Linked DNA regions of Sus scrofa. Each later gene encodes a partner of the first gene's protein in a complex. Links are inferred from orthologs where the notes say so. Each region holds a gene or a part of one and is shown in the gene's direction. Other genes may lie near its edges.

What was found.
Region 2: CDC42 (region 1) and CRK share a complex: the UniProt entries of both Homo sapiens proteins name them as parts of the collagen stimulated complex. The link is inferred for Sus scrofa from reciprocal best matches to the Homo sapiens genes CDC42 and CRK.
Region 3: the proteins of CDC42 (region 1) and ARHGAP1 are in contact, whole or in part, in a crystal structure (PDB 1GRN), measured with the Homo sapiens proteins. The link is inferred for Sus scrofa from reciprocal best matches to the Homo sapiens genes CDC42 and ARHGAP1. Residues at the interface, in NP_001034891.1 of Homo sapiens: Asp11, Gly12, Ala13, Tyr32, Val33, Pro34, Val36, Phe37, Gly60, Gln61, Glu62, Asp63, Tyr64, Arg66, Leu67, Leu70, Ser88, Glu91, Asn92, Glu95, Lys96, Asn132; in NP_004299.1 of Homo sapiens: Glu278, Gly279, Phe281, Arg282, Arg283, Ser284, Ala285, Asn286, Thr287, Gln288, Asn309, Glu310, Val316, Lys319, Arg323, Asn385, Lys386, Met387, Asn391, Val394, Val395, Pro398, Asn399, Trp402, Ala403, Lys404, Ala406, Ala407, Thr409, Leu410.

The regions. Positions count from the first base shown.
Region 1 is NC_010448.4:80,033,471-80,037,217, forward strand, and holds the start of CDC42 (cell division control protein 42 homolog), read left to right. Parts: upstream 1-1,564; 5' UTR 1,565-1,680; intron 1,681-3,747. UniProt on the Homo sapiens protein: Plasma membrane-associated small GTPase which cycles between an active GTP-bound and an inactive GDP-bound state. In active state binds to a variety of effector proteins to regulate cellular responses. Involved in epithelial cell polarization processes.
Region 2 is NC_010454.4:47,671,594-47,675,240, reverse strand, and holds part of CRK (adapter molecule crk), read left to right. Parts: intron 1-849; coding exon 850-1,385; intron 1,386-3,647. UniProt on the Homo sapiens protein: Involved in cell branching and adhesion mediated by BCAR1-CRK-RAPGEF1 signaling and activation of RAP1.
Region 3 is NC_010444.4:15,832,966-15,836,712, forward strand, and holds the start of ARHGAP1 (rho GTPase-activating protein 1), read left to right. Parts: upstream 1-1,442; 5' UTR 1,443-1,574; exon of another isoform or gene 1,575-1,778; intron 1,779-3,747. Other genes in the region: ZNF408 (zinc finger protein 408), read right to left, coding at 642-919, 1,225-1,342. UniProt on the Homo sapiens protein: GTPase activator for the Rho, Rac and Cdc42 proteins, converting them to the putatively inactive GDP-bound state. Cdc42 seems to be the preferred substrate.

The DNA.
Region 1 (3,747 bases):
TAGCATTTGGGTCAGCTAGAGTCTCAACTCTGCTACCGCCTGGCTTGATGACCTTGGGTAAGTCCCTTAACACCTCTGAGCTTGCATCAATAGTGAGGGTAATGGTTCTTAGTCCATAGGGTGGTTGTGAATTTTACATGAACTACTATGTTTAGATGCAAATTTGTTAGCATCATACCTATAGTATGTTAGCATCATACCTATAGTAATCACTCTAAAACGTAGTTCTTGTGTAATTAAAAAAGTCCAGGAGTTCCCGTTGTGGCTCAGTGGTTAACGAATCTGACTAGGAACCACGAGGTTGTGGGTTCGATCCCTGGCCTTGCTCAGTGGGTTAAGGATCCGGCGTTGCCGTGAGCTGTGGTATAGGTCGCAGATGCCGCTCGGATCCTGCGTTGCTGTGGCTCTGGTGTAGGCTGGCGGTTACAGCTCCAATTAGATCCCTAGCCTGGGAACCTCCACATGCGGTGGGAGCGGCCCAAAAAATGGCAAAAAAAAAAAAAAAAAGACCAAAAAATAAAATAAAATAAAATGAAACATTCGAAACAATAAAAAAAAAGTCCGAAGGGAAATATGACTATTAAAAATATTGTAAATAGATGTCTTTCTTGGCCAAATAACTGTGGCAGTCATCAATAAATGAATTATTGTAGTTCCCCTCGTAGCTCAGAGGAAACTAATCTGAGTAGTATCCATCCATGAGGATGCAGGTTCTATCCCTGGCCTTGCTCAGTGGGCTAAGGATCTGGCGTTGCCTTAAGCTGTGGTGTAAGTTGCAGACAAGGCTTGGATCCCGGGTTGCTATGGCTGTGGTGTAGGCCAGCAGCTACAGCTTCAATTTGACCCCTAGCCTAGGAACCTCCATAGGCCAGGGGTGCAGCCCTAAAAAGAAAAAAATAAAGAACTATTATTTAAGATAAGCTATTTTCCTCTAACACTAGGCACCATCTGAGAAAAGACCGAGAAGGCTCCTATTCTGAAGTGTGCACACTGGCAAGGAAGACGGATGACAAACAGGTGCTGTGAGGATAGGATGATCAGGAAGGCAGTGACATTTGAAGGCAGAGGGCCAACGGAAGGACTGGTGAAGAGGAGGCAGCCAGGGGAAATTGTGAATCTGAGGCCTTGTTGTGGGGAGGAAGTCTCTAAACCAATTGATGACGGATGTCGCTGGAACGAGAGACAGTAGGGTGGAAGCAGTGAAGCGAGCACTCAGCTCTCAAGCCATACGGGCCGGGGGAGTCAGAGGGCCATCCACTTGCATTGTGGTCACAAGTCATGCCCCTTTTCGAGTAGCCGCTGTCTTCTTTGCAAAATCAGGATGATGATACTTTGCAAAAGTGCAAAGATCAAAAGAAATGTTAGTTGTGGTGCTTTGCAAACGACCATTTATAGCATTATTACAAATATATGACAGCCACTGGAGAAACAGTTACAAGCGCAACACACGAAAGAGCAAGCAGGACCGCCTGGCGCGTGCGCGCTAGGCTGCCTGAACCTGGGGAGCGGATGAATTCAAGCCCCGCCCGGAACAGCTCGGCCTCTTTTCGCCTCGGATCCCTCCCACTTCCGCGGGCTCCCAACGCTGCGTCGTCTGCGTGCTGACGTCAGGCGCGTGCCCCTGTCCGCAGCTGAGGAGACCCCGCGCATTGCTGCCAACGCCCCGGCTGAGGAGCTGAGGTGAGTGCGGGGTCCTAGGCTCCCCGCGGGAGCGGGTTCCCCACCGTCCCGTTTCCGCTGCGCCGCGCCCGGCCTTTCCCAGTCCACGGGGACGCCCCGCGTCTGGGTTCCTGGGAAGCTTGGGAGCGCGGGGCGTGGAGTGTGTGTGTGTGTGGGGGGGGGGGGGGTGCCCGGCTCGCGCAGCGCCGTTCGGGCGAACGCGGGTCCGGGTTCTGTCCGAGGACGGAGGCGAGGAAGTCGCGGCGGGCAAGGCGGGGGGCGCACGTCGGCCGAGAGGTGTGCGGCCCTGCTGTGGGGTGCCGGGCCGAGGGCGCGGCCGTGCTGTCACCCGGCAGCGGCGGAAGGAAGGGGTCACACCCATCCCGGCCGCCCGGCTCCCCTCCCCCCGGCCCTGCGGACCCCTGAGGCGGACGGCGGGCCCGGGCGCCGGGAGCTGCGGAGACGCTCGCGGGCGCCCGGGCTGCCCGGGGTGGCGGTGGCCCGGGCTCCCAGGCCGGGTCTGCCCCCGCGCCCCGGCCTCGACTTCCTGCTTCGCCCGGCGCGGCCGCAGACATTTTGCGGCGGGCGGGGGGGAGGGGAGCGGATTGCGAGCGCGGCCGGGAAGTGGCGGCCGGGAGCGGGCGGCTAGCTGACCGCCCCGGGTTTGCCTGCGACGCGCCTCCCTCCGCGGTCCCGCAGCTGGACGCCTGGTCCCACTGGGTGGGCCTGGTCGCCGCTTCTCCGGTCTCCTTTATTCCTGCCTTAGGTCGAGTTCCTGATGCCGTTTCCGTTTGCTTCTCCAACTCTCTCCCTGCGTTTTCAGCTGAAGCTTCCCTTTCAGGGAGTTACCTAACCACCTCCCGAAACTGTCGTTCAGCCTTTTGCCCAGTTCCTCTCATTAGGGGGAAAATTTCTTTGTTCGTTTGTGTTTTTCCTCCCCTTTAATCCCAGAGAAATGCAGTGTGGAAGATTACGTCATCGCAATATAAGGGGTGAGAGTTTTTAACTCCTACAAGTCAGGGACTCACTAAATTAAGACAGCATTTTGTAGCCTTGGTTGGGTCACCCATTGGCCTAGCCAACCTGTTTCCCAACGCATCAGAGATGATCTTTTGAAATCCTGGCCGTCTCATATGCATCTGAAAGCCAGGAGGGTTTAAAATCTCCGGATCAACTTGTGCCAGAGAATAAAACGTAAGACAACACCTTCTGCAGCCGCTTGCGTAGGCAGTAACTTTAAAGATCCCTTTGACTGTACCCGAATGAGATGAATTTATTTGTGGAAGCATTTCTTTGGTCTAAGATGCAATTCACAGACTGTTTAACTTCTCCCATATGAATTACCGATTCGGAATATGTACCTAAGTCAACTCATGTGCACTTTTTGTGGTAAGGGTGTGTGAAAAGAGAATCAGTTCTATTTACGCTTAATCTTTGCTTGGTAGTCAGTTTAATTTTGTAATTAAAAATGTTTTGGATTTTTAACCAAATAAACTTAAGTGAGTAATATTTTCAGACTTGGGATCACAGAATGTTAGGTACATCCTAAATTGTATATCCTTCATTGACTGCAGGGTAGTGTAATACAGAAAAATGTTAGCATTGTAAAGCAAATGAGATCCAGTTGTGTAATGCATTGTTGTAAAGATAGTTCATGTTGGAACAAGCGCTTTCCTATTGTTTCTCGTTTGTATAGAGAGAACAGATTGCTTGTTAAGAAACACTTAAAAGTGGTAGGTTTACATCAGCTTTCTGTAGTGTGTAGGTGTTGGTAGATGATTGGATAGGTGTGGAGCTTGGATCTTCTAAAATATATTTATTTGCCATAATGTATCTTTTTAAGAAGATAAAAATGGAACACTTACCTGCTGCCATATTTCTTGAGTCTTAATTTTTTTAGATTGAGGCAAGGTGATAAGAGACTGGTAATTAACTGTGTATTAAAAATGAGCTCTTCCTCAGTAATTTCTTCCAAGACCCAAAAGATAGCACGTTCTTAAAATGTTTTCACATAATAACAACATCTGTACTCAGTTAAATTTAAATTTTTGGGAATCTGAGGCAGGTGTTACAGCCTAGCTTAAATAT
Region 2 (3,647 bases), on another chromosome or scaffold:
TTTTACCTTTTGTCAGGACCTGTTTGTTTGTTTGTCTTTTGTCTTTTTAGGGCCGAGGCATACAGAGGTTCCCAGGCTAGAAGTCGAATTGGAGCTGTAGCCTCCGGCCTACCCCACAGCCATAGCAACACAGGATCTGAGCCACATCTGTGACCTACACCACAGCTCACGGCATGACGGGAACTCCAAGACTTTTTGTTTCTAAGGGAACAATCCAGTTTCTATGTTTTATTTAAGTGAAGATCGTGGGAACTGATGTTTAAGCAGTTTGCTTTTTAGTTTCTAGTGTTTTTTTAGCTGTCAAAGAAATGAAGTTGAGATTAGTAATTGTAGATTGAAAAGATAGCCTCAAAACTTTTGCTTATTAGGAATTGCCCAGTCTAGATGTGAAGAGATGAATGTATGAACCTAGCGTCGATGACGTTCTCCCCACCTTTTCCTGGCACACTTGCTGGGACCCATGGAAAAGAGGAGTTTGCTACATTTCCAAGGTTCAGAAGAGGAGTGTAACACAGCCTTGAACCCTTAGTACTTTGTAAGTGGAATGACAACAGAACATTTTGGGAGAAGGAACAAAAAGGCCATGCTGCTGTGTCTGATCCAGTACGAGAGCTTCTGAGTGGTGTGACTGGTCTGTCATAGCCTTCTGTTCCTTTTCTGCCTCAGACAGACACAGCCATCTTTCTTCCCAGGGAAAGTTTGAGCTACAAAGTATTTTAGTTTGCTATGAGGAGAAGGGGTTATTTAGATTTATTTTTTATGACTGAATTAATGTGTGTGGGAAATGCTTAAAATCTGCGCTTCATCCCTGGTATATCTAAATAATGCCCTGCTCTGTTTTTTTTCTAGGGGTGAGCCCCTCCAGACTCCGAATAGGAGATCAAGAATTTGATTCATTGCCTGCTTTACTGGAATTCTACAAAATACACTATTTGGACACTACAACGTTGATAGAACCAGTTTCCAGATCCAGGCAGGGTAGTGGAGTGATTCTCAGGCAGGAAGAGGCAGAGTATGTCCGAGCCCTCTTTGACTTTAATGGGAATGATGAGGAAGATCTTCCCTTTAAGAAAGGAGACATCCTGAGAATCCGGGATAAGCCTGAAGAGCAGTGGTGGAATGCGGAGGACAGCGAAGGCAAGAGGGGGATGATCCCAGTCCCTTACGTCGAGAAGTATAGACCTGCCTCCGCCTCAGTATCGGCTCTGATTGGAGGTAACCAGGAGGGTTCCCACCCACAGCCATTGGGTGGGCCGGAGCCCGGGCCCTATGCCCAACCCAGCGTCAACACTCCGCTCCCTAACCTCCAGAATGGGCCCATTTATGCCAGGGTAATCCAGAAGCGAGTCCCTAATGCCTACGACAAGACAGCCTTGGCTTTGGAGGTACATAATGTGCAAAATGTAGAAAGAAGAGATCTGCTACAGGGTCTCCCTTTCAGACCTCTTAGAGCTTTGTAGCAATGCCAAATACAAGCGGCAGCATTGTGATGTTGTTGTAGATGTCGAACCGTTAAGTACTGATTTTGGCATTTAATGTTGGGTTTTCTCTTTTACATGGAAAACCTGTTTGGGAATGAGTAAGCTTAAAACTGTATAACGGAATGTTCTGATTGATTTACTAAACCATACTTTGACGACTTTAATAACACCACCTGAATTCACAGGAATTAACCTAAAATATTTTTTCTCATCTACATTCTAATCTGTTTCTTTTTTTTCTGTTTATCATTATCTACGACAAAATGGGCTGACACAGATTTGAGTATGATAAGTGGTCTCAGTCAAAATACTTAAATGGAATTTTCTTAAAAAACCATGAATATTTTTACTTTAGAGGGCATGGAGTTTCTTACCATTTATTGATTGCATTCATTAAATAATTCAGGAGGGTAAGTGAAGTGTGCAGGTATGGAGAGATACCCAGAAGTATTCATTCCAAGGAACAGCAGGTTGACTTGGTCTTTGTTTAAAGCATTTTATAGACAAGTAGCCAGTTCCTCCTGAGGAGCAGATTTTTGCCTTTCGCTGGTTAATGGTTCTCCTTGGCAACCCATCTCCTCTGGCCAGCCATTATATTGTATTGATTCCTGTCTTGAGCACTCACAGCTTTGTCTCTTAGCTCTTCTCTTCCTCTTGCCCACCCTCCCTTTCTTTCTCAGTTATGCAGAGCTAGTGGTTTAGCATAAAAGCTTATACAGATGGGGCACACTATCCCAGGTGTCAGAGCCTTTTAGATATGGTGACTTGAATGTAAGCAAGTAGCTAACTTTCGTAAGCACAGGCTGAAGTTATGTGAGTACAGGTTAGCAGAGGAGGGGCAAAAGTGTGTTCTTGTAAGCTGAATTCCCTTCTCAATTTTGTTTCTTCTGGGTCATGTTTATACCACGGAGGAAGGGGAGCTGCCCTCTAAGTGGGAGCATTAGCCTATAGAATGAGCTGGTATTTGAAATAGTCTCTGATAGTACTGGATTTGATAGTACTTTTACATTCTGGATAGCGCATGCAAAGGAGGATTAGTTGGTTCTTAACAAGTTTGACTGAAAAGTGGTGGTGGTGGTGGTTGTTTTTGTCTTTTGTCTTTTTTAGGGCTGTACCCGAGGCATATGGAGGTTCCCAGGCTAGGGGTCTAATCAGAGGTGTAGCTGCCGGCCTACTCCAGAGCCACAGCAACTAGGGATCCGAGCCGCATCTGCGACCTACATACGCCACAGCTCACAGCAACACCGGCTCCTTAACCTACTGCGCGAGGCCAGGGATTGTACCTGAAACCTCATGGTTCCTAGTCAGATTCGTTTCTGCTGCGCCATTACGGGAACTTCAAAAATGTTTTTTTTTTTTTTTTAAGGTGGATGTATTTTGGAGTTTCTCTTGTAGCTCATTGGTGTTGAACCCAACTAGTATCCATGAGAACCAGCATTCATCCCTGGCATTGCTCAGTGGGATCAGTCGGTCTGTGAGCTGCAGTGTAGGTCGCAGAAGAGGCTTGGATCTGGTGTTGCTGTGTCGTAGGCTGGCAGCTGCAGTTCTGATTTGACCCCTAGCCTGGGTACTTCCAAATGCTGCACCTGCTGCCCTAAAAAGACAATAAATAAATAAATAAAAAATAAAAGGTGTGTATATTTTGAGATCATGTAACTCAAAGGTATTGTGTCTTAGCTTTGATGAGAAATAAGATGTATGTTGTCTAGGTCACACCACTTTTTCCCACTTAGTGGTTGGAGAGTAAGAAAAACAGTGAAGAAATAAGGAGTTTCTGGCCTCATACTTTTGCTTAAGTTCAGATAATGGCAACATGCAACACTGTGCTGTACACGTGGTAATTATGACTCTTGACATTTACTGCAGACCTTGCTGGCACTGGACTGGAGTGTGAAAATAACATTCATAGAACAAGCCAGCCAACACCCAGGAGAGAATTATCACATTAATTTTACTTCCATTTGCAATTCCTTTCTCGAAGAGAATTGTTTCTTAATGATGCCTACCTTGATTAGAGGCTTTATTTAGTGCTCAGAAATGATTGAGCTGCTCTCCTGCTGTGAAACCTAAATCTTGTGAAATAAAAATTAAAGTAGAAGACGAGTTTATGATTTTAGTAAGTTTCCTTTTTTAGTTGGATGTTAATTTTGAGCCATGTATGTTGAT
Region 3 (3,747 bases), on another chromosome or scaffold:
GTAAAAGAAAAAAAAAAAAAAAACACCTGATGAAATTGCTCCCAACACAGACCTAAGATGAAGCCCCCTGGAAGGTTAATGGTCTCTGGTTCTGCCTCTCTGTAGACTGCACTGTCTGAATTTTCCTTCAGTAAAGGCCAAAAAAAAAAAAATTGTCCCCACACCTCCCTCCCAAAGTGTGAAAAATTACTGAATTGAACATATTACTTCCTTTCAATGAGTACCAAACAGAAGTAAGAGGTACCTCAAATTTAAAATTTTTTCAGGAGTTATGCAATGAAATCTTTTACCTGTGCTGTTTCACCTTTCCCTCCAAATAATCCTGGAGGATTAAAATAAAGAGCCATTCCTTTATTTTACATGCCATCTGACCAGCTAAGTGACAAAGCTGAGATTTGATCCCAGGGGCTTTTTAATTCCCAAAACCTTTGTTCTTGACTTTTGTAACTGCTAACACTCTACTAATTCAGCTTTTAACAATTTTTTGCACCTCTTAATTACTGCAAGGAAGGAGAAAAGACAGTCCTGGACAGAAGGGGGCCAAACCATCTCCTATCCCTTTAAATACTCTGCATCTTCTAACAAGAAATGTCTGAACTAAATTTTCAATCATGGAAGGGAGATGCCCGATCCCTTAATACCTCTTTTTGCTCTCTTTCCGCTGCATCACCCTTCTGCTTAGAGACAGACTCCTCTTCCAGTGGTCCCCAGAGCAGTCCCGGCTGCAAGGGTTCCCCGACACACCAGACCCCCAAGCGCTGTTCCTCGGTCAGTGAGGGACCTAGGGCCAAGCCCCGGGGGAGGCTCTTTAGAGCGAGGATGGCTCGGGTCGGTCTGGCTGGGAAATCTTTGGGTCCCTGTGCACAGCCTTCTCCGGAAGGGCTCCATCCTGAGTCCGGGTCCAGGCGTGGGCCGGGGACTGCAGCGAGAGAGGAAGACAGTGAAGAAGTGAGGAAGCCGCCCAAGAGGTAGTGGGGTGGGGAAAGATGAGGGAGAAAACCCTAGGTCCAGCTAGGCCTCAAGAGTCTGAGAGATATATAAAGACTCTAAGGGGCCCCGAAAAGACCTGAGGGACTTCGAGGGCTCTTAAAAGAAGCCCCCGAGATTTTGAGGGCACCGGAGGAGGATGCCAGGCTCGGGAGGAAAAGGGTCGGGGGATAAGAGTTGACCAGAGAACGTCAGGAATATCTGAGCCGAGGGTCGGAGACACCGCAGGCCGCTCACCGAACTGCAGTCTTCCCTTCGCCGAGAGAAGCTCCTCCGCCTCCTCCATCCCGGATCGAAAAGCCTCCCTCCGCCGGAAGTGAGTGTCACCTTCTAGGCTCCTCCCGGAAACAGTCATTGACACCCAAATTTCCTCTCGGGAACGAATCGTAAGAGTCAGCCTTAACTGGTGCACAAGACCAGGAGTTTGGGAATTCTGGTGAGGCGAATCTCTGTCCGAGAAGAATACGAGCTAAGGATTCCGGAGGTCCACCAGAGATTCGAGTACCCGGAACATCGGAACTAACTGTTCCAGGGCCTCCTTTTGGGAGGGACGAATCGGACGGTTCTACTCCACCGCAGCCAAGGAGGCACGTGAGCAGCACGTACAGGAAGTGGGCGGGGATCCTGGAAAGGCCATGTTTGGACCGGGCAGCGGGTCGGAAGTGGGTTGGAGGTGTGGCGGAAGTGGTTGGGAGTGAAGAGACAGGGAGGGGGCGGTTCCCGTTCCACCTCGGAGCCGGATGTTTGCCGATCTTTGACAGGCGTGGCAGAGGGAGCGGTACCCGACCACGGTGAGCTGCGGGGTGCAAGTTCTGCCTGGGAGGTTGGGGGCGGGGCGGGAAGGAAAAGGACTGGCCAGGTCATTTGAAGGGATGGGGTCCGGATGGGGAGCATCCAAGCGGATCCGAGGAAGGGAGCAGGGGTGGAATGGGGCCTGGGAACCTGGCCTTCCCGCTGCCGGGATTCTGCCCCACTCGCGGGTCTGCAGCGAGAGGACTTTGCTTCTTTTGCTGGCTTCTTCCTGGCCTCTCGCTCGCTGTCATCGAGTAAACTCATGGGAAGGGGAAGTCTCCCTCGTCCGATCTGGGGAAGTGCTAAAACAAGAAATTCGGGCGAAGTGTTCCACCTTGCTACTTATTAGGCCACGCTTTCATGTCTCTTTCTTAACCTGTGAGACAGGATTGTAGCACCCAATCCGGTTTTTGTGAACCATGAGGCTTTATGCAAACGTGATTGTAGTTGAAAGGCTTGCTTTGTATTGTGGGGTTTGCATTTTTGCAATTCTGGAGCCCTAACTAGGAGGCCTATCACAATTCCAGAGAATATGATTTCAAGTTATTTCAGTTCTCCTTGGAGGAGTTTAGAGAAGCTTTACTTTGCCCTTTTGTAGAACTTTGAGAATCATATGAATGACAGTCACTTAAGAGAAGTATTGAAGGATTGACCTGCACAAAGAGACCACCTTAGATAGACATGGATTAAAATCTTGACTTTACTGTATGACTCTTATTTTTTCTGGTCTTCACATTTCTGGAACTGTACTTCTCTGGTGCTGATGTGAAAAGATAATTTGTATCCAGTTCATCGTGGTTGCTTCCCTTTTCCTCTTAGGATACAAATTGATTCCTTCAGTAATTCAGCAAATGACTGAGCATCTACTCTGTGCCAGATGTAATTTTGAGTAGGTCAAGGCTGTTTGTTTGTTTTTAATGGTCACACCCGCAGCACATGGAAGTTCCATGGGCCAGGGATTGAATCCCAGCAGTAGCTGACCTGTGCTGTGGCAACACCAGATCCTTGAACCAACTGCTCCCACCCGGGATAGAACTTCACAGCGATCCAAACCCCTGCAGTGAGGTTCTTAACCCACTGCGCCACAGTGGGAACTCCAGGTCAGGGATTCTTAAACAGTGATTCTAAGAGGGTCTGTGAACCCCTTAAAATTTCATGCAAGATTTCATGAGTATGCTGATTTTTGGGGAATGAGTCCAGACAGTTCATCAGAATTCCAGAGAACTCCAGGACTTCCCAAAGGTAAAACCTCTGCCTAAAGTGAGTCTTGAAGGATTTAGGAAAGGTACATATTTTATCTCCTGAGAAGAGAAACGTTAATTTGAGAGTAAGACATATTTTGCAGAGTGAAGCAGGACTGTGACAGGAGTCTTAGGCAGCCAGGATACTTCATTTCCGTGACTCTATGTTAGAAGTTCCCTGCACTAGCTTCTCTCCCCCTTCCCACTGAATGGGAGCTCAGCTTCTGGCCTCACAAGGGGCAACAGCTGTGGGCTGGAGGGTAGTGAGAGAGGCCAGGCTGGCTGGGAGGTGGAAGCAACTGTGATTAGTTATGCTGGAAAAGGAGCGTATAGGGTGGGGGAGGGGTCAGTTCTGGAAGAACTAACAAAATAGAAGAGTTACTGGAAGAGGTGGAGTTCAAGTTTGTCTCCCTTTTAGAGTGTCCCTCTCCCTCCCTCACACATACTTTAGCTCCCAGCTGTCCCTTCTAATCCTGTTGTTCCCTTCAGCACAAGTATTTTAGAATGCTGGAGAATTATATTTCTGGGAGGAGTCTTCACTTCTATAGATGAGATAGATGAGGAAATTTAAGCCTAGATAGGAAAAGGACTGCCCAGCATCTTTGCAAATCAGTCAGGACTATAATCCAGTTCTCCGTGTATCTCATTCCCTGCCTTTTTTTTTTTTTCTTTTTTCTATTTTTTTGTCACTTCATCAAGCACCCACTGTGTGCAAAAAGACTTCTGG